Astyanax mexicanus: one gene and its partners. The protein of the gene in region 1 purifies or fractionates together with the protein of each later gene. This does not show direct contact. Links are inferred from orthologs where the notes say so. Each region holds a gene or a part of one and is shown in the gene's direction. Other genes may lie near its edges.

Region 1 (7,565 bases):
CACTTGTAATCATTAAAAAAAACTTTTTGGTTACATTAAAATGCATTTTTGTAAAGTGGACAAAAATATAATTATAGATGCCACCTCTGTGACACAGTGGAACTGAGGCATGTTTTTCTATTTCTATTTCTATGTATGTTGTTTTTCCCTCATTTTAATTTAGTTTGATTTGATAGATTATTCACCAATTAAAGGTCTCTTCACACTCACAGCTTTTTATCATAAGGTTTTATCAGAGCATTGTTTCAAAAATCTTTGTAGCATCTTAAATTCTTCAGAATGTATGACACAGATATCCAGGAATGGTGTCAAGGTGAGCCATCTGGGCATGTCAGATCCTGTCATGATCACCTTTTGGACAAATAAAATTAGAAATATCACCAAAAGAACATTGTTATATTGTTTTTTTTTTTCTTTTTATTTAATTTTTAGTTTTTTCTTTACCAAATAGGTGAAGAAAACGTTTGTTACTGTATTTTTCCTATATATATATATTTTTTTATCATTTTCCATTTGTCCTAAAATCGCATGGTTATTATTGATTTTATACAGCAGCATTATCAACAAAACCACCAACTAATCATTTTCCCATGCCTGATTCAGCCCCCTTCATGGTCACCACCATGGTCACTTTAAGCACAATATCCAGCTCTTAAATCACACTGGAAATCATCTCTGGAAAGGCTGATGATCCAGCATATCTGCTCAATACAGTTGGAAAACTGTTTTTTTTCATCATTCAAGAGGAAAGTGTCGCACTGCATCCAAAACATAAGCTATACCCTGATGCTGATATTCCTGAAGAAGAGCTGATCCCCATGAGTATGACATCATCAGGGTATGCTCAGAAAGGATGTTCCTTTGTTTGAAAAGGATGGAGACTTTCACATGTGTGTGTTCTGCCATCTGGTGGTGCAAAATATACCTATATATCAACATGCTGTGTGCGGAGTAGGTTAACACTGAAAAACAAAACTCCCAACTGCCAGTACAGTTCAAATTGATCTACAAAAGTATTCAACAATTTTCTACTTAAGTACTTTAATTTAAAATGTACTACTCAAATACTGAAAATAAAAGTACAAGTACTGTGTCATTATTGTGTAGTTATTACAGAAAGCAGTAAAAAAAATGTTTATATTGTTTATCATCAAATGTTTAGGCTAAAGAAAACTCACAAAACATTTTGCTGTAGCAGCAGTACAAACACAGGACTGTACAAGATAGAATACAAGCACATGACATCTCCAATTAACTCTCTAAACAAACTCTTCCAAAAGAAATGCTAAAGAAAATTGACAGCAAGACATTAGTATATTTTATAACTATTGTAAAATCCACTAAAGAAGGCAAATGCCACATACAAGTGTTAAATACGTAAAAACAAGTGATTAGAGTATCTTAAAACACTGAGCTTAACCCTTTATATATAAAAAAGATAAATTTTCTCCTTTTCCCCTTTAAAACATGTCTCTCTTCTCTTCCCCACTCCCACAAATAAAAACATGAACTCTAAGCAGGGCCAGGGGTGGTCTCCTTTCTTACCCTCACCACTATTATTCGAAAGTTGAAGGTGCTAGAGGTGGTGTTTCCGGTTCTTTCATCTCAAAACAAACTAATAAAGCTCAAGTGTTCTCAATGCAGGCTGGCAGCAGAGTAAAAGGCAAAACAGGAGCAGCGCTGTCTTCTTATAAAATCAGCTTAATCACTTGAATCTCTCAATGATTCTTTTAATGTTGAGCAGCTTTATCAAACCCTGTGACACTGCAGAGCATATAACCCTCTTGCTTTAGTGATAATGCCTGTTTGGATTGATTCGTAACATTTTTATAATTGTAACGAATAACGATGCAGCACAATAAAAAATGATCAGAGTAAGAGAATTAAAACTCTTTAAAAAACATATTACTTCAGTAAATGCAGATACAGTGTTTTAGTACTTAAGTACAGTACCACTACTAATGCGGTGCTTGTGTGTCAGGGAAGATGTTAGCCTAAGAGCTAACCCCAGGAGCCTCGCAAACACATGATGGGGCCGTTCACCACTTAGCTCAATTAGCCAATCACTGGTATCGACGGAGCTAGATGCCACATAATGTTGGCCACCTTGAAGCTTACTGTAAATAAATGGGTTTCAGGAGAAATATACATGTAAATATTGCAGGTAGGGGGCCTTTCCTAACATCCGCCATCTCATTGCCTTTTTTCCTGACAATTTTTTGGCTCAAATTAGCCTATATTTTAATTTTTTATATATTATTTATATTATTATATTATTTTAATAATAACAGCAATAAACTAACACTCTGGTTTAGCTCCAGCTGAGAGAATCTATTAATCCAGAACTGTACTGTGGAACTCAAATTTGAAACTATAGAGCACTAAGGTTATTTTGAAGGTGTTTCCTTTAACCTAGCTTCTGCTGCTGTACTTGTGGTTAGTGGTGTTTATGTGCTCTGCTACTCACTTTATGGGCTGAAAGATGCACTCTGGAGTGATATTATCCAGTTAGAGAGATTAAAATCTTGGTTCTCATTACTGCATGAGGTACGTTACTCTTTACTGGCCAAGCAAAGCTGTGCTAGCCTGTATCCCTGACTAACTGCTAACAAATGAGTGGCTGCAGCTGTTCTCCAGCTCCTGAGCTCCATCTAGTGGAAGATGAGGTACAGCAGCTTTCTGTGGATTTCTTTGGATATGGAAACTGTGGTGCTGTTTTCCCCGCCACAAAGTACTAAAAGAAGATGAATGGTGGATGTTTTAAATGAAGCATCTTCAACTACTGCAGCAGCTCCTCTTCTCTAAATGGCAGAGGATATAAGTTAAATGGTGCCTCACAACACTCTTTGTGGTGTATTCATAAAACTGCTGTTCATGCAACAATCTCCTCTTTTTTTGTTATACACTCTAAACAAGCATATAATACTACTCATTTTGTATATATATATATATATATATATATATATATATATATATATATATATATATATATATATATATATATATATAGATCTGATGTTTCAACCAAAAAGAGTCAGTGACCAATGATGTTGCGAAAATGAGGGTGCGCTCATTCAAGACTATAGCCTGATAGTCCAGTGTGGCCTGCAGGGGATTACCAAAAAAAAAAAAAGTCCCTTAAATAAACACTGCAAAAATACTCTTCTCTTCTGGGTGTTGGATTTCCATTTACCAATATGGGATTGGGATCACACATATAAGCCTAAGTGCAGAAGTGCAGAAGTAATTCTTTAGGTGATACCTCAGAATTGCACATTTGCTTGGTTTATGTGAGAAGTAAACAACACTGTTTTAACATGTTTAAAAATGTAGTTTGTACATTGCCTTTGTTTTTTGTTTTTTTTTGGAATGGGTTACAGGCCTGAAATGCAGGAATGGATATATAATAACAAATGAAATGAAGTGAAGACAATACATGTCTGCAGTCTAAAAAGTCAAAGTAGATGTTAAAACAACTGTGTGTGTTTCCTCTTATTTGCATTTACAAAACTGGTCTTACCTTACTTTTTGTGGTTCTATAACAAGATATGTCACAAACACACCCACAAACTACCAACAAAGCATTAGAACCATAGAACGAAAGAAGGAACAATAGAATGACATAACAATAGATAGACAGATTTATAGACAGACATAGAGTTTAAAAGTATTTTTGTTATCTGTGGTGAGTATTGCATTATGCAGTAATGCTGACTAACATGTTTAATATCTAAACTTTTAAACAATTGCACACAATTACAATAATATGCAATAACAAAAATACCAGTGTTCAAATAAATCATGACTTGCTGTTTTTCTCTACATGTTTAAAATGCTGCACTCAAAATCCTGACCATGTTTATAAAAACTACAGATCACTGTGTTTATAAGTACTGTAACTAATGCATGGGCCAATTAAATTTGAATAAAATTTTAATGAAATGTGTTGAACTGGTCAGTGTAACGTTTAGCAGTTTCATTTTCTGACTGTATCAGGCTACATTCGAAAATAGAAAATTGGGTATAAAACTTAATATTTTTTTTACATTCAGTATAGTGAAGATGAAATAGATTTTCACTTATCTTTTTTTTATTTCAGCCTTTCACAAACAAACATCCACGAAAATTAAAACGATGAATCTTCTCTCGACTTTTGGATTTGTCCATTTTTGTGTCTTGTAACACAAATCTGATGGTTTAATCCAACTTGCAAAATGCAAAAATTGACAAATCAGAAAATAAAGAAAATATCCATTTTTTTATTTTCCTGAGATAAAAAAAAGAAATAAAATTGGAAACATGGATAAAAACGTATTTCTTGTACACTGCACTACATTTTAAAATGTTATTAATTTAGTTTTTACATCCAATTTTCTATCTTTGTATTTAGCCTATAACGGTCAGAAAGTTCAATTAATAAACGTTACACTGACCGTAACTAGTGGTGTGACCTATTGGAACAGAAGTGTGCTACATAGGCAGTAGGGTGTAGGGAGCTGGGAGCAATTTGAGACGCCTGTGTAACAAAATCCCCAATCGAACCGGTCCGGGCTGGGAATTCCCCGGGAAATCACCTACTCAGCCAGCGAAAGGCGAGAGGCTTTTTCTGGAAACTTGGCCGCTGTGGAGCCGCGGGTGTGCTGCTCGCACGGCTGAGTGAAGGGTTTAATATGGAGCGGACAGAGACATGGAAACGGGGCTGAATCACGCCGCGGAGGCGCCTGGCGCTGTTGTTGTGGCGGAATTTGATCCCAGACGAAAAACGGCCCTGAAAACAAACGGCCAGAGCTGAGCTAAACTCGGGCTAGCCGATTAGCCCGTTAGCTGGTTAGCTTGTTAGCGCTAGGTGGCTAACAGCGGGCGAGCTCTCTGTAAACAGTAACGTTAGCTAAAACCAGCGGGTAGTTTGTTTGGTTTTTGATCCGGAGGAGAAAGTGGCTGGCATTAACGACAGAGGCTTGATTTTCTCGGAGCTATAGCCAGCTAAATGATTATAAATGGAGTGGGCGCACCAACGGTTCTCCCAAGACCTCCAGAGCGGCGGCTATGGGGAGCAGGACGGGCAGCCCGGGGCCGGGAAGGGGCGCTCGGAGATCCCCCCTGAGGACTGGTGCGACAGCGGGCTCGACTCCTTCCTCGACGCCGAGAACGAGCCCGTGCTGGAGCTGCCGTGGCCCCGCGGGTTCCCGGCGGACTGCGGCGGAGCGGGAGAGAGTCAGAGCGGGGAGTGCGTGTCTCTGGGCGGCGGAGGAGGGGAGAGGCTGGACTCCGCTATCGGGGACTCCATCACAGACGAGGCGGCGGCGGTGGAGAGCCTGTCGGCCGGGATCAGGACCGTGCTGCTCGCGGGGGAAGCCGAGGAGAAGGCAGCGGGAGCCGGGGACGGAGAAGAGAGAGCCCGGGAGGAAGAGCAGAGGAAAGAGGAGCTCTGGAGGACTCTGAGCTTTGTGTCGGAGGACGGAGACACGTAAGAAACTTTTCTATAAGCTAAGTTAGATCACGATGTTTTAATTATTCATAATCAGCGCTGTTAAAGACGATAAAATGTTTAACCTGTTAATCTAAATGTAAAGTGTGCGTTGAGACCACTATTGCATAACAGACTGGACAACCTGGCACGTTTCACCAGAGGTGTAAAAGGCCAATACTAGGGCTGGGTATCAGCACTGATTTGAATATGAATCGATTCGATTCCGGTTCACAAGTCGAATTTGATTCGATATTTATTTAGGGATATTTCACTTAAAAATTAAAAAAAGCTTTGATAAGAAAAAGGTTTATTGTTATTATTATTGTTATTATTATTGTTATCAGCCAGGTCTGTCACATAAAAAGTAGAAGGTATATTGTGGCAGAAATAATTGAAATAAACAAAATTATTTTCTTTTTAAAATGCCTCTGATATAAAGATAATATAATAGTATAACATTTTTGTATAAGGTGTAATGTGGTAGACATTATTGTGATATATACAGTATTTTTTACAGAGCCTTGCAGTGTATTTGTTTTAGCAGTTTTAAATGTGGTAAACACAGCACAGCTACTGTTTTCCTCTTTTGTCATTTATTTTGTCAATTGTTGACATTAGTGTGCTTTTTGTCCCCCCTTACAAGAAAACAAGGATAGTATCATGATTAATTACAGAATATTGTTGATTAATGTGAATAAAATTTTGAATCAATTCACACTGCCAGTTTATATGAATCAATATTAGATTACCTAAGTAAATATAGATCTGAATAATAATAAAACAAGATTGTGGTGCAGTATACATAGTTCGCAAACATACTGTTCCATCCACAGCTCAATAGGTGTTTAATATATCAGTTTGGCTTAGGAAGCAGTTCTAGGCCTAGGAAAAAAAAACTGTAGTGTGAGAATGTCTATAGGGTCAAGATTATCTTAATTGGTAGAGCAAGTTCTCATTGTGATGCTTGCATGAACATTTAAGAACTGCCTTTGTGCCATAATGCTTTGGTTAACCCAGCCCTGTTTAATTCTGGGAGGTGTAAAAAGTGTCATATAAAAATTAATACAGCTGTTATTAAACAATCTGTCTGGGTTTAGGTACTAAGCTGGGTGAAAGAGACCACCTGGAACATTAGTTGGGCTCTTTGGGTCTTTTCTGGGTCTTTCCTGCTACTGCTGTTTTATGTCTGCTGACCTTTTTGACCTTTTCCTGTTCTGGCAGTGCACTACACCTGGCGCTGATCCACGAGCAGTGGGGATTTGTGCAATACCTGCTGGAGCTCATCTCCCACAACCACACCTGGACCCCATACCTGGACATTCAGAATGATCTGGGACAGGTCAGCTGGAAATACACACACACACAAACACACACACATTAGGGCAGCATGATATTTGCATAGTACATATCTGCTTGAGAATTACAGAATTAAAAATATAGAAATAACCTAAATTTCTACAATCTACAAATGTTTATGTATTTATATCAGCAGATTACTAGTAGGGCCCTATCAAAAAAGCAGAATTCAGATATAAACATGAAACAAAATCTGAAAATGTAAAAAAGGAAGAAAAAAAACAGCACTCCGAAAACTGTAAATATGATTTTCTTTAAGTCCCTGTACCTCATACAAATGCTAAAATTCTTCTGTTTAAGGATCGCATGCATATAGATGGCTAGCTGGTGTGGGAATGTCCAAAAAAAAAAGCTAGCTTCGAGTAGCAAAAAACATCAAATAAATAAAGTAACACAAAATTCAGGGAACACCAGTTTCTATGTAGTATATTTGTGTAACTGAACTAATGTCGAAAACAGTGTCTATTTATTGAGAAACAGCATATTGTTGTGGGCATTCACAGGAGGATTTTGGAGTCTTACTTCATTGCTAATGGTACATGCTAAACTAACTGAGTGCTAATAACCTTGTGGAGAAACTAATACACAGCAGTTGCACTGAATTGCATATTTATCTTTTATTTGTTTAAAAGATATTTGCTACAATCAGACGAAGTTACAAATTACACTTGTATTATTAAATATATTATTTAATATGTGCCTGGATTTTATTTATTTATTTATTTTATTTTTTTTGACT
Region 2 (7,203 bases), on another chromosome or scaffold:
TTCATTTGCATTTCTTTTGCATTTGATTTTGTGTGGATGTATAACACTTAATTCAGTTTGTATCAGTAATCTGTCATTCTCTCCCTCTTCTCTGCAGGTTGCTTTCACCACAAGAATTTATCACCCAAATATTAACAGTAATGGCAGCATCTGTTTGGATATTCTAAGATCGCAGTGGTCACCAGCATTAACTATTTCTAAAGGTAAGCCCCTTCACACTGAACAGTAAAACAGTACATGAGGAGGACTGTGTTTTAAAGTGTTTTGGTGGTTGCTGTGAATAATGATGGTGTTTGATTCTTCCTGCAGTTCTCTTGTCCATCTGCTCTCTGTTATGTGACCCCAACCCAGACGACCCGCTAGTGCCAGAGATAGCTCGCATATATAAAACAGACAATGAAAAGTAAGTATCGTATCATATATTGTGTTTTTTTAAGTGAGAATAATCAATATTGAATGCATTTACAGAACAGAGTTAGTCAGTAATCTGCTTTATTCAATAATTGACGTGTTCATATGAATTGGATAATCGGAAAACAAACAGATTTAAAAGCGGCATTTTACAAAACGATATCCTTATATCGTTATCATGTTCAGTGAATTGTGATATTTTTATAATACTGTGATACTCAATGTGTTACAAGGCATATGTATTACTGAAGAGGATAAAACACTCTTAAATAAGCAAATACCAGGAATTACGGATTTATTTGCGTCAGTTTCACAGAATTTAACAACCAATTTTCTTCACCACAGGTTTAATGACCCTATTCATTTGATTATAGCGCCACCATGTGGAGTAATAAAGCAGTAACTTTAGTAAGTCTAATCGGTGGGCGAGATTTGGGGACTTTAATGCGCCTGTTTTAATAAAATATGCATGCAAGACGCCACTTGTTGATACGGTACGATACGATACAATCGAAACAATGCAATATATCACAATATCGATATAGTGTTCCAGCCCTGCCCTGATCTCAGTGGGGGTCTCACTGATGAGCTGGGCCGCTTTCCCTCCCTCAGGTATAATAGACTGGCCAGAGAGTGGACAGAGAAGTATGCCACACTGTAGGGGTAAGGCCGGGCATTGTGGGAAGTGCTGGTGTGTGTAAGCGTGTTATGCAGATGGTGTTCAGCATTAGGAGAGATGAGGACGGTGTGTAAAACAGAGGCAGAATGCTTTCAGCTTTGACCTTGCTGTTTTTGTGTGTGTGTGTGTGTGTGTGTGTGTGTGTGTGTGTGTGTGTGTGTGTGTGTGTGTGTGTGTGTGTGTGTGTGTGTGTGTGTGTGTGTGTGTGTGTGTGTTGGCATGGGCACAGTTGGCAGAGCAGTGCTCGCTTGCCCAGCATGCGACACTATCGTTACATTAGCACTCCTCAGCACCACTGTTAATCAATCTCTCTCTCTCTCTTTCTCTTTCTCTCTTTTACTTCCTCTCTTACTTGCTTGTTCCTCTCCATATACAGGCGTTTTTGTTCCTACATAGTAAATGAATAGTGAAGTGATCTATCAGACTATGAAAGAACACATAAGTAATCTGTCTGTCTGTCTACTTATTGTTCAGTGGGTCTATCTCCTCTCTCTCTCTCTCTCTCTCTCTCTCTCTCTTTCTCTCTTCTTCATCATCTTTCTCTCTTGAATTAAAGTTTATTAGAATTATAGGTTTAGTTTTTTTATTGGTATTTATCTCTCTCTCTTTCTTTATATCTCTGTCTCTTGAATTCAATTGGTGTTTCTCTCTTTCTCTATCTCTCTTTCTTGAATTCATGTAGTTTTATGTATGTTTCTATTGGTATTTTTTCCTCTGTCTCTCTCGCATTCTTTCTCTCTTTCTTGAATCTTTCTTTCTTGAATTCAAGTAGTTTTTGTTATCTTTCTCTTGATATTCTTTCTCTCATGAATTCAGATAGTTTAGTAGTTTAGTTTGTTGGTATTCTCTCTATCTATCTATCTCTTGAATTCAAATAGTTTTAGTTATGTATCTGTTGGTATTCTCTTTCTCTCTCTCTCTCGAATGTTGGAATTCAAGTAGTTTTATCAGCATGAATTGTAAATAACAGCTGTCAACAAGTTGCCAATGCAAATAATAGAGTGACTAATGATGATAAGTCATGACAAAAGCTAATGAGTGAATAACTTTATGAAAAACAGCAATTAAAACATTTACATAAAGTTTATTTAGGAATATATTTACAGTGGTTTAATGCAGTCTCTCTCTCTCTCTCTCTCTCTCCCTCTCTCTCTCTCTCTCTCTCTCTCCCTCCCTCTCTCTCTCTCTCTCTCTCTCTCTCAGGTATAACAGAATAGCTCGGGAATGGACTCAGAAATACGCCATGTGATACCTGACGGAATCTCACCCCAACAGATCTGCATTATAGCCCCCTTCTCCCACCTTCTCAACGATCTGGCACTTCCCCTCCACCCCCACCAGCCTCCACCACCCCCACCTCATCTCCAACCAAACCAGTGATTTTGTTTAGTTGTTTTCTGTCCCTGTTAAAGTGTCCTGCGCTGCGAGCGAGAGGACGTCACGGCGAGATCACGCTCTGTCCATCTTTTGTAAAACGCTCTCGGGTCTGAACTACGAAGCATGTGTATCGTCGAGGACCCCGCCCACTCTGTAACCAGGTGTAATAAAACAAAGACATAAAGCAAATAAATAAGAGTATCAAGCGCTTTTATCTCACGCCACATACTGGAGGTGCTATAACGATAAAAAAAATCTATATGTATAAATATATAATGAATAAATAAATAAATGAATAGATTAAATAATGGTCCTTTTGTGAACAATCTGTCACTGGGTTGGCCTTCACTTTTTTATATATGAAAAAATGCTTTTACAATAGCAATGATCCAGTCTGTGAACTATACTCCTCCTGCTTCTGACTGACTCGCCACGGGCAGAACCGGCCCCATGGTTCCATCAGCAGTTCTGAAGAATATAAGATCTATTTTATGCATGTCGTTAGGATAATAACCGTGAATGGGTCAGCCGTCTGCTGAGAAAACAGTGTTAAACACACGTGTCCACTTGAGAACTTTTATTTTGTTACTCCGTTTTCCTGGCTGTTTCATTTCTTCCCCCTGTCGTTTATAGAACGAGGAGCTATTAGTTCATCTGCCTTCCTCCTCCACACTGTTGGCTTGTTGCACTGAATTTATGATTGGACGCTCCTGACGGATGACCGGTCAACTAATAGCTCCACTAGCTGTTCATTTGTTTTCTCAATAAAGTTGGTAAAAGTACTGATTTAAGAGTGGTGTCGTCTTTACTGCATGCATTAACTTTAAGTAGTCTTGTAATACTTTGTGTGGGATTGCAATATTAAAAAAATAATAATTATTTGGGTATTTATTTATAATTGTATTTATTTATAAAAATATTCAGTTTCTTTATGTGCATTCATTTATAGAACAGCAAGTTTTATTATTTTCTGGCTATGAATTAATTATCTCAATCCCACACCATAATCAGTCATGGCCATGATCTCATTCACATGCCTTATTTATCTCGTTCCCAAGCATTAGGATCCCGTTCCCATGGCTTAATAAGAATGCTGTTTTCTGACTCTAATATTCTACTATAAAATCTATATAGCAAATTAATCCAATTTTTTTGTTTCCCTGCATTGGAAGCCTGTGTGTGATATTTTATATTTTTATATTGCTCTTTTTATTTCATAAAGCATCCCTAAACATGAAAAAACATGATTAAAAAGTGTTATAAATCACATTAAAATTAGTAGAAATTTGCTGTTACTTTGCCATAATGGCTCTAGTACTTCAGTTTTTCCAGTGTTTTTGCAGTAAATAGGCCGTAGTTACTCTTTCATTGATTTATAAACTTGTTGATTGGGTGTTTTATGGTCTATTCTGATGAATAACATCTCTCAAATAGTGTGAAGTGCAACAAAATATTTAAAAATAAAGAAAATACCTGATGTCCATTATTATAACATTTTACATTTTCTGCAAATAAATCAAATGCTTTAAATGACAATATTTTTATAGCAGTGTTTGTACACACTGTATTATTACACAATTCAATAAGACGGTAATTACCGGGTTTGACCAGCAGGTGTCGCCCCCGCAGCGGCCGGCTTTGCTGGAGGAGAAGTTGCGTTACGTCACAGGGAATTTCCAGTAAGGAAGTGAACTTTTCTTTACAAACAGATCGATCCGCGCTCGAGCGGCGACCATTAACTCGATATCGCCTCCGATCCGCCGGATAATTCACCCGCACTGCGCCCGAGCCTCTCCTCCGCACCCAGCCGAACGCCCGCCCGGCCGGAGCTCTGCGCCACCCGCGGGGCTGCATGGCTCCTTACCCGCCTGCCTGAGCTCTCTCTGCGGACTGACAGCACATGTGGAGCGGCCAGACACACCAGCACAGGTAGCGGACTGAGCTCCACACACTGCACTCTACAGTCTACACACACTTTACTGCTGTTTTACTGCTGTTTATGTCATATAAACACTGACACTTATATCTGCTCTACATATATATATCCTTATATAGAACACCAACTATTGCCTAACTACCTAACTGCTCATAGTATAGTTATTAACTCTAACCATTCACAACATTCATTAAAAATATTACTTTTAAGATATTACTAATCTATCTAATCTGAGATACGTTTTAATATATTAATAGTGGGGAATTAACCCACATTATGCGCTCTATAACACTTTCAAATCATTAAGTCTTAAGATTTCCCTATAATAATAAATCCGCTTTTGTTTCATTTGGATGACTTTGTAGGTAGTTTTGGGCTGTGTCCAAATAAGTACTCTACCTCACTAGTTACTTAGCTAGTTAGCTAACTTAAGTTTGCAGACTATACAGTCAATGGAGCATGAGTAGTAGTATAGCTGGCTAGTGGTTGATTTTGAGATATTTTAAATAAATGTCCCTAAGATTAATCTGCTTTTGTTTTATTTGGATGTCTTTGTAGGTAGGTATCATTCGGCTGCGTTCAAATAAGCACTCTTACACACCTAGCTAGATAACTATACCAGTAGTTTGCAGAGTATATCAAAGCAAGTTAATTCAACACCGTTAGCTAGTGGAGCTATCTAGTTAGCTAGTGGTGATATTCGGGATACAGCCCACTGTTTTAAAGTCTTAAGTCTTACAAATGTCACTGTAATAAATCAAATTTTGGATGGCTTTTAGCTTTGGGCTGCGTCCAAAGCGTCTAGTGGTGGGATCGGGATACAGCCCACAGTTTTAAAGTGTTATAAGGCACTAGTCAATAGTGCAGCACTACTATAGGTTAGGTAGTGGTGGGATTTGGGACGCAGCCCACTCTCAGCACTATCAGACGAAGCTGAACTGAAGAACATGGTCTTGTTATTGATGTGTTTAAACAAATAAAACCACAAGTTTACACTCGTATGTGTTAGTCATTTCATTTCTCAATAAAATCCCAGTATATTAATTAAGAATATGAAATATCAGAGGCTGCTCAGCATCTTAAACTGACTGAAACTGACTCAAACTGAGAGTCTGGGTATTTTGTTGACTTGCCGACTTGTTGGCTTGTTAACTCCGAGTCCCAGTGCTGTTAAAACACTTAATTTAGCACTTTTAAACCGTATAAACTTAATATAAGTTTCCTACACGACAGCGGGTTAAAGTTGCGGCGAAATCCGACCACAATCTCAGAAAATGAAGTTGGATTTAGCTGATTTAGCTGAACTTCGCTCTGCTACTTCCCATTTCCACACACAGACTGAGGGCTTTAGCTTAGCTTAGGTTTAGCCTAGCTTAGCTTAGCATGCTAACTAACATTAGCTCATTAATTCGAGGCTTTGACCGTGTTTTTACAGCTCAGCCGCTTCAGCTTTAGTTAACAGACTGAATAAAAATATAATATGATATATATATATATATATATATATATATATATATATATATATATATATATATATATATATATATATATATATATATATTGGTTAAATAATGTTCAATAAAGAGAAAGATTATTTTAAATATAATTACAGGGCTGTGAAAGTGCACTCACTGTAAATTAGCTAGCTGTTATTTCTACTCCCTGTCAGAGCTTAGCTTTAACCTTTTTTAGGTTTTTATTATTATTTTCAGCTGTAAGTTCTATACGGCTTATTTTATTTTACTCTATACTATATAAGTTAGTATGAAGCCTCAAACAACACTGATAGCAAGAAAGTTGAATAAACCTTCAATTTTTGACTGTATGATGGAAAAGCAACCTTTAATCTTTCATTTAAAAGTTCTTCCATAATATATAATTAATATTAATGCACATTTATAATTAGTACATTTAAATGTCCCTTTCTACAAAACAACAACAATACAAACACGATATATACATATGTAATGTAAGTAAAGGTTAATACAAACAATATACAGCTCTGGAAAACAAATAAGAGACCACTTAAACTTTCTTTGATTTTACCAAATTGAAAACCTCTGGAATATAATCAAGAGGAAGATGGATGAACACAAACCATCAAACCACCAAACTGAACTGCTTAAATGTTCACACCAGGAGTAAAGCAGCATAAAGTTATCCAAAAGCAGTGTGTAAGACTGGTGGAGGAGAACATGCCAGTATGAATTGCAGATAAGCAAAATATTACAATGTCAGTTTTTTCTCTCTAATATCGTGCAACCCTAGCCTGGATCTTCTGAAAGTCTTCTCACAGTCAGTTTTAGGGGTTGATTGTTTACTTGCTGCCTAAAATATCTCATATTAATGCTCTGACATTTGAACTCTCCATTCCATGAGTCTTTCTACGGTCTATTGTTCTTGATCTGATCTGAAGCTACATGACGTTTAAAGGTCTGTAGTGATGGACTCGAGTCGCTGTCATTCCCAGTCTCTTCCACTTTATTAAAATATCACTGACAGTTGGCTTTGGAATATTTAGTAGTGAGTTTAGTAGTAAAATTTCACGACTGGACTTGTTGTTGCACAGGTGCTGCATCCTATCACACGGTACCACAGTGCGTTCACTGAGCTTCTGAGAGCAACCCATTCTTTCATTATTTTTTTTTATTCACACCTGTGGCCATGCAAGTGATTGGAATACCTGAGTTCAGTTAATTGGATGATTGGTTGATTGAAAACATTTGGTTTTAAGCTCTTATCTTATGTGTTGGGCTGTAGCTGTTGTAAAAAAAAAAAAAAAAACTAATAGTCCATTTCT
Region 3 (7,248 bases), on another chromosome or scaffold:
AAGGGAGTAAGTGAGAGTGTGTAAGAAGGAATGGAGTGAGGGAAGGAGTGGGAGTGTTTAGGCAGCGAGTGAGTGAGTCAGGGCTGCTGGATGTACCTGTGTATACGATCAGGCATATGAGAGTGAAGAGCAGCTCCAGACAGATGATGCACAGCAGGAGATAAACAGAGAGATTCTTCACTTTCTTGTCCAGCAGGGGGGCGGGGCCAATCACCACCAGCAGCGCCGCATTACCTGCGGAGAGAGCGAGAGAGACAGCGAGGGGTAATAAAGGACAAGAAAGGAGAGATAAAGAGAACAGCAGAGAAAAGGGAGGAGTTTAACAGCATTAAACTGAATGGAGCTGAACTGTATTCAACTTAAGTGGAGTTGAACTGGATTAAACTGGATTTGGCTGCACTGTATTTGAAATGAATTGAAATTAAACTGGATTCAACTGAATGTTACTTCACTGTACTAAACTAAACTGAGTGAAAATGAAGTGTATTGGTCAGAATTAGAGCTGTACTGTATTAAACTGAGTGTAAATGAAGTGTATTTTTCAGAATTAGATCTGTACTGTATTAAACTGTGTGTAAATGAAGTGCATTGGTCAGAATTAAAGCTGTACTGTATTAGACTGAGTGTAAATGAAGTGTATTGGTCAGAATTAGAGCTGTACTGTATTAAACTGAGTGTAAATGCAGTGTATTGGTCATAATTAGAGCTGTACTGTATTAAACTGTGTGTAAATGAAGTGCATTGGTCAGAATTAAAGCTGTACTGTATTAGACTGAGTGTAAATGAAGTGTATTGGTCAGAATTAGAGCTGTAGTGTATTAAACTGAGTGTAAATGAAGTGTATTGGTCAGAATTAGAGCTGTGCTGTATTAAACTGAGTGTAAATGCAGTGTATTAAGAGAGTGATGGGAAATGCTGCCTCCTGGAGGATTTCTGGGATCTTGCAGTGTGTGGGTCAGTACCTGCAGAGTGTATGAACAGGGGCAGGCGTTTGAGGTCCTGATTGGCTCTGTAGAACTGCAGGTATCCTCTCCTCCTGGCTGTAGTGTGGTGGTGGTTCACACACCACTCGAACCCGAACACCAGCAGCCACAGCCCCACCTTCCCCAGCAGCACCACGGTCTGAGAGTCCACCCCGTTCAGCACTGCGTTACACTGCTCCGAGTGATCCTCCGCCAACCAGCACAGAACCGCCAGCACCACGCTCACGCTCACATACGCAACCTGAGGACACACACAGTGATCACACACATCATACACACTTACAGATTCAACAACTGGTTACTTATCACAGAATAAATGTCTCATGTTTGAGTATATGTTTGAACAAAATGAACTTTGTTGTTTTATTCCATAAAGTACGCACAACATTTCTCCCAAATTCCAAATAAAAATATTGTCATTTAGAGCATTTATTTGCAGAAACTGAGAAATGGCTGAAATAATTAAATAATGGCTCAAATAATGCAAAGAAAACATGTTCATTTTCATAAAGTTTTAAGAGTTCAGAAATAAATATTTGGTGGAATAACCCTGGTTTTTAAATCACACTTGTGTGTGTGTGTGTGTGTGTGTGTGTGTACTGACGTGTGCTGCAGTCAGTAATCCGGTGATCCAGGCTGTGGGAAGTTTCTGGAACTCTCTCCTGATGGCCGACTCCAGAGCATCCTGAGATATGAGCGGCCCGTCCATCAGCGGGTCATCCTCTATACTCTGAGTATAATCAGTACTGGGGTTACTCTGCACACACACACACACACACATAAGGACAGGAGATCAGTGACAGGAGATCAGTGAGAGTATAAAGTGTGTGGCTGCAGTAGGAAGTGTTTAGATGGAGGCTGTTTGATGTGCCACACTTCAGTCGGAGCTTCTAAAAGAGCTGAGAATGATCATCGTTCAGACTCTTTATTCCCAAAAGTGAGAACTGTCCAGCAGATCAATCCCACAGCTCTGCTACTGCAGCACCTCACCTTTACCTTTACCAACGGCCCCATTGTGACAGAACTGTATCAATCAGCTATAAAAAAGACGGAGAGGCCGTTATGAGCCCTGCTCTCATACACAGGGTATCTGCAGTTATGGGGAAATTTAATTATTACATTTAAGGTTGTTTAATACCAGACAGAGACTAAAAACTAATTAAAACAAATCAAAACCAAAATAAATTTTACAGGCTTTAGAGTACACCTTTTTGACAAAACTAATATAAATGTACAGTTTGGTAAAAACAGAATAGGATCTATTTGTTCCATGTAAACAGGGTCCAGCACAAAACATATTGTTATAACCCTAAATAACCCTGAATAACCTTGGCCCACATTCAATACTGAGGCGTTTTTTCTAAAGGAACCAAGTAGAACCCAATATAACCCAACATAATTTAACATAAACACAACAGAATCCAATAGAACCCAATTTAAAACACAATATAACGCAATAGAACATAGTAACAATATAACCCAAAAACCCAAATATAAACACTATATAACCCAACCGATCCCAAAATAAACACAATACAACAATAATGTAACCCAATATATCCCATTATAAAACAATACAAACACAACATAAATAAGAAAACACAATATAAACACAATTTAGCCAAATAGATCCAAAAAACACAATATATCCCAACAGAACCAAATAATCACAATAGAAGCCAATAAATGCAACAGAATGCAATACATCCGAATAACACAATATAACCCAATATAAACAGAATACAAGCACAATCGAATCCAATATTACCCAATATAAAGACAATATATCCCAATAGATCCCGATATAAACACAATATAACAACAAGAGAACACAATAAAACCCAATAAATCCCAGTATATTCACAATATATCCCAAAAGAACCAAATAAATACAATGAAACCCAAAATAACTCAATATAAACACAATAGATCTAAACACAATATACCTCAATATAAGCACAATAAAAGACAATATAACCCAACAGAACCCAAAATAACCCCAATAGATGACAATATAACACAATGCAACACAATATAACACAACAGAACCCAATGCAAACAATCTAAAACCAGCTAAAATAGCAGAAAATCTTGATTTAACTATATTAATACACGATTCAACAACTGAATAACTCAACAGTCACACTCTATGAAATACAGAGCCAATAAACTGCTTGTTTGTTAAATATATAAGTTATATGCATATAAATGTAAAATAAACTCTGCTTTTATTATTAAACACAATTAAAAAACGCTCCATAAATAAAAATAATAAAAAACACAACAATATAAACAATATAAATACAATTAGTTGTTAGTGCATTATTTACACCAGAATAACCCAAACACACAGGTTTAAATCTCACCTGAGGAGCTGCGGGTCGCTTAGAGCCCATAATAAAGCTGCTGTAGTTTATTAAACTCTCTAAACTCTACTAAATTACAAATAAAATCATATAAACAGTTTATTACTCAACATTTATACACCAGCTTCAAAACACCACACATTCTACTTCCGCTACCAGGGAGCTGCTGACACCCGTCAAATTAAAAGTCTTTTTCGTCTAATTTGTCCTTTAAAATACTACCACTACCACGCCCTTTTTTCTATTCACGTTTATATTTATGGTTTCTTCTATATATATATTCTTATCATACAACAAAACAGCATTAATAATAATATTATTAATATACAATAATAAAAAAATATATTCAAATTCTTAATAGCATATTTAACTGAGAATTTTCAGATCAGATTTTTGGAAAACAGTAAAGGGAAAAAGTCAAGTTAATAAATGTTCATAGCCAAACTCTACTATTTAGAAATAGAAACAATGTACAATGTAACCAGAAATCACAAGGCAATGAAAAAATAAATGTTAAAGAGAAGAGAAGAGAGTTCAGGAGGGGCGAATACAGAAAAGAGTAATTAAAAGTCCGTTTTTAGCTAATTATATTACTATTAAATGACTGATGATGATATTTAAAACATGTTATAAAATAACTAATACAACACTGATGTCACAATATAATTAATGACTATTATTTAGATATATGGCAATACTGGTAATAAATCCCTTATAAACAAAATACTAAGTCGTTCACTCATAGTTGTTTTGCCTTTTGCTTTAAACGTGTGACAGACATATATTATGGGCTGGTTTTAAGCTTCTGAAGGGCGGGTTTTAGACTGACTTTTGGGTTGGATATTTTTGTTGGACCTGGCAACCCTCACTACAGCATGGCGGCGCCCTGTGCGTGGACAGCGTGTAATACGAGCGGGCAGGAGGACGCAGTGATCGGTGATTTAAACCCTCATATCTCTGTTATAAACTCATATATCTCTAATATAAACTTTAACTATAGTTATTACTGCTTTAATCTGCAGCAGGAACGCTCTGTGTTTGAGATAAACAGATTATTATTACTGTTTCTTACCCACGTGCTGCAGCTGTAGCTCCTGTATCGGTTCAGAATCAGCATAAACAATATATTAATTGATTAGACCTTTTTCCCAAGTTTGACCTGCTGTTACTCCAAAGTACTACAATAATATCACTGGAAACTTAAACCATTAATATTATAGAAAAGCATATATGAGACTTTAATGGTATCATTTGATTGCAGTTTGATTGGCTGGTTTTATAGGACTCCAAAATCTGATTTATGCAAAACCCAATAGATATTTTTCTTAAGTTTGATCTCCAATTATTCCAAAATACTACAATAATATCACAGGAAACTTAAACCAATAATAGCATAGAAAAGCGTCCATGAGACTTTAATGGTATCATTTGATAACAGTTTGATTTGCTGGTTTTGTAAGACTCCAAAATCTGGTTTATGCAAAAGAAAATAGATATTTTAGTAGATTTTATTATTAATAGATAAGTTTGACCTTACATTAGTCCAAAACACTACAGTAATAGCAGACAATACTTATACCATTAATAGTATAGAAAAGAATTTAATGGAGTCATTTGATAACAATTTCACTTGATTTTTCAAATTTTTTTCCTAGGTTTGATTAACATGCTTTGCATATTTGTATACATATTTTAAAGGTATTGCAATTATTCTTTCTCCTAATTATAGGATGTTTTTCAGATTTATCATCTTATAATAATGGTTTACATTTAATAATGATTATTTAGCTCATTAGTAATTCAGTGATGATTTAAACTGCTAAACTATTTTTACATTATTTTAAATACAGTTTAATTCCCACTCTGTGTTCTCCTCTCTGTTCTGTGTTTGCAGTGAAGTTCTCTAATGGAGAGGTGAAGAACTCTGAGCAGCTGGACTTCAGACTCTTTAAACATGTGGACGAATCAAACCCGAGGAAGAAGCGCCGCCGGATCATCGTAAATACACAGATTCTACATTTCATTTACAGCACTAAACACACACACACACGCAGCTGTATTAATATATAAATATATATGTACTGTATGTGTGTTTAGGCTGCAGAGTCAGACAGGCTGGCGTACGTTGGGAATAACTTCGGACCCGGATCCTTACAGTGCAACAATCTGTGCAGGTAGGTGGAGTTAAAGGTTAAAACATGTGTTTAAGAGTAAAATTAGAATATTATATAAGACCAATTGGTACTTTTTAAAAGCGTGGCTAGTCCTGCTGGAAAATGAAATCCGCATTTCCATAAATGTTGTCAGCAGAGGGAAGCATGAAGTGATTTTTTTTTTTTAGATGCACTAGTATATGTAATATAATTAGGTAAGTTACTGAATGGACTTTTATTCTGTAGGTATTTTGTGGGAGTGCTGGATAAAAGGACGATGGAGATGAAGGTTCATAATGCTCAACTCTTCAACTTGCTGCCCAGTATACCAGGTACACACCTCTCAAACACCTTACACACACCTGTAGTGTTTAGATGATCTTCACTGGGAGAGAGAGTGTACTGTCTGATGCTTGCTCGACCATTTAAAAGTCTTTAGAGTTTGTTTTTTTTTTAGTGCTGAAATGTTTTTTTTTTTTTTAATCTTATCATTGGCAAATGAATAATTGAAAATGTCATTAAGTATTAGGAAGGAAAAGTATTTGGATTGGAAAAATAACAGGACTGTTTCATTTTCTCAGGAGAAACAGCAGCAGACGCTGATAAAAACGAGACCAAGACCTACAGAGACAAGGTGAGTCTACAATGCAATTCAATTACATTTTTATTATTATTTTTTTTATGTATAGCGCTTTTTACAACAAAAGTTGTTACAAAGCAGCTTTACAGAGGAAAACAGGTCCACGCCTTTAATATGGCCTAAAAATGATCTTTTCCCCAAAAATCCGATTTTCGAATATAATCTATTTTGTTCACCCCCTACTAAAAATGTAAAACAAATGACAAAGAAATGGTTCAAAACTATGTTTACCCTAAAAAAAAAAAAAAAAAAAAAAAATATATATATATATATATATATATAAGTACGAGCTCAGTCCTGTTTAAAAAATATTTTAATATGTTATGTTAAGTCTGTGGGAGGCGCCGGTTATCAGGTAAGATGGAGAACCACTTCAGAAATCAGTAGCGTTTTCAGATATTTTAGATTAAAAAGGGATGGGGGCGTGGCCACCGTGATGGGTAGTCAGGAGGCACCGGGCAGTCACTCCACTGACCCAGTGGGGCTCTAGTCTCTTAATTTGTGACTTTCAATCTTTTAAGGGTCCGTTCTGCCTTAGCCTTCCTCTCACCTGTAGCGACCTGTAGTCACCTGAGGGCTGAGTCTGTATTTCGGTTTTCTGTCGAGTTGTGCTACCTATCGAACAGCGGGCTGCTCAATCAGTCCTGATTCAGACCAGCTGCGACCGGCAGTGGCTGCATGTCATGGCATGGGGTGGACCCAATATGTAAAATCGTGATTTAGATAGAGAAAACAGAAAGAAAAGAAAGAGAAAAAAGTGTGCTAGAGTAAAAGGACAGGGCTGATTCCCTGCAGGCAGGAGGTTTAGAATAGAGATTTAAAGGGGGATTGGTTCCATATAAAGGTTTAGAATAGAGCAGGCTTTACGGTTCTGTAGGTAAAAAGTGTCCCAATATTGGTTGGTTGCAGGTGGACGCTCTGATCGAGGCGTTCGGTACGACGAAGCAGAAGCGAGCTCTGAGCTTGCGGCGGCTGAACGAGGTCGGGAACGAGACGCTGCAGAAGGCGGTGGACCGAGCAGCCGGGAGCGTCATCAACCAGAAAGGACTGGAGGGTAAATTTCACAACTTCTTCACTTCTGGGAAGGCTTTCCACAAGGTTTAGGA

The links.
Region 2: the proteins of nfkbib (region 1) and nfkb1 purify together in Homo sapiens (affinity purification with mass spectrometry; 7 studies listed by BioGRID and IntAct, counting the BioPlex papers as one, with this or other methods). This does not show direct contact. The link is inferred for Astyanax mexicanus from reciprocal best matches to the Homo sapiens genes NFKBIB and NFKB1.
Region 3: the proteins of nfkbib (region 1) and polr1e purify together in Homo sapiens (affinity purification with mass spectrometry; 3 studies listed by BioGRID and IntAct, counting the BioPlex papers as one, with this or other methods). This does not show direct contact. The link is inferred for Astyanax mexicanus from reciprocal best matches to the Homo sapiens genes NFKBIB and POLR1E.

The regions. Positions count from the first base shown.
Region 1 is NC_064408.1:33,211,210-33,218,774, reverse strand, and holds the start of nfkbib (NF-kappa-B inhibitor beta), read left to right. Parts: upstream 1-4,511; 5' UTR 4,512-4,997; coding exon 4,998-5,467; intron 5,468-6,691; coding exon 6,692-6,809; intron 6,810-7,565. UniProt on the Homo sapiens protein: Inhibits NF-kappa-B by complexing with and trapping it in the cytoplasm.
Region 2 is NC_064426.1:2,198,978-2,206,180, forward strand, and holds the start of nfkb1 (nuclear factor NF-kappa-B p105 subunit), read left to right. Parts: upstream 1-4,125; 5' UTR 4,126-4,396; intron 4,397-7,203. Other genes in the region: ube2d2l (ubiquitin-conjugating enzyme E2D 2 (UBC4/5 homolog, yeast), like), read left to right, coding at 98-203, 310-403, 1,024-1,072.
Region 3 is NC_064432.1:23,894,286-23,901,533, reverse strand, and holds the start of polr1e (DNA-directed RNA polymerase I subunit RPA49), read left to right. Parts: upstream 1-4,176; 5' UTR 4,177-4,224; coding exon 4,225-4,285; intron 4,286-5,243; coding exon 5,244-5,347; intron 5,348-5,446; coding exon 5,447-5,523; intron 5,524-5,748; coding exon 5,749-5,834; intron 5,835-6,083; coding exon 6,084-6,136; intron 6,137-7,051; coding exon 7,052-7,196; intron 7,197-7,248. Other genes in the region: tmem192 (transmembrane protein 192), read right to left, coding at 97-234, 963-1,224, 1,588-1,740, 3,350-3,379. UniProt on the Homo sapiens protein: Component of RNA polymerase I (Pol I), a DNA-dependent RNA polymerase which synthesizes ribosomal RNA precursors using the four ribonucleoside triphosphates as substrates.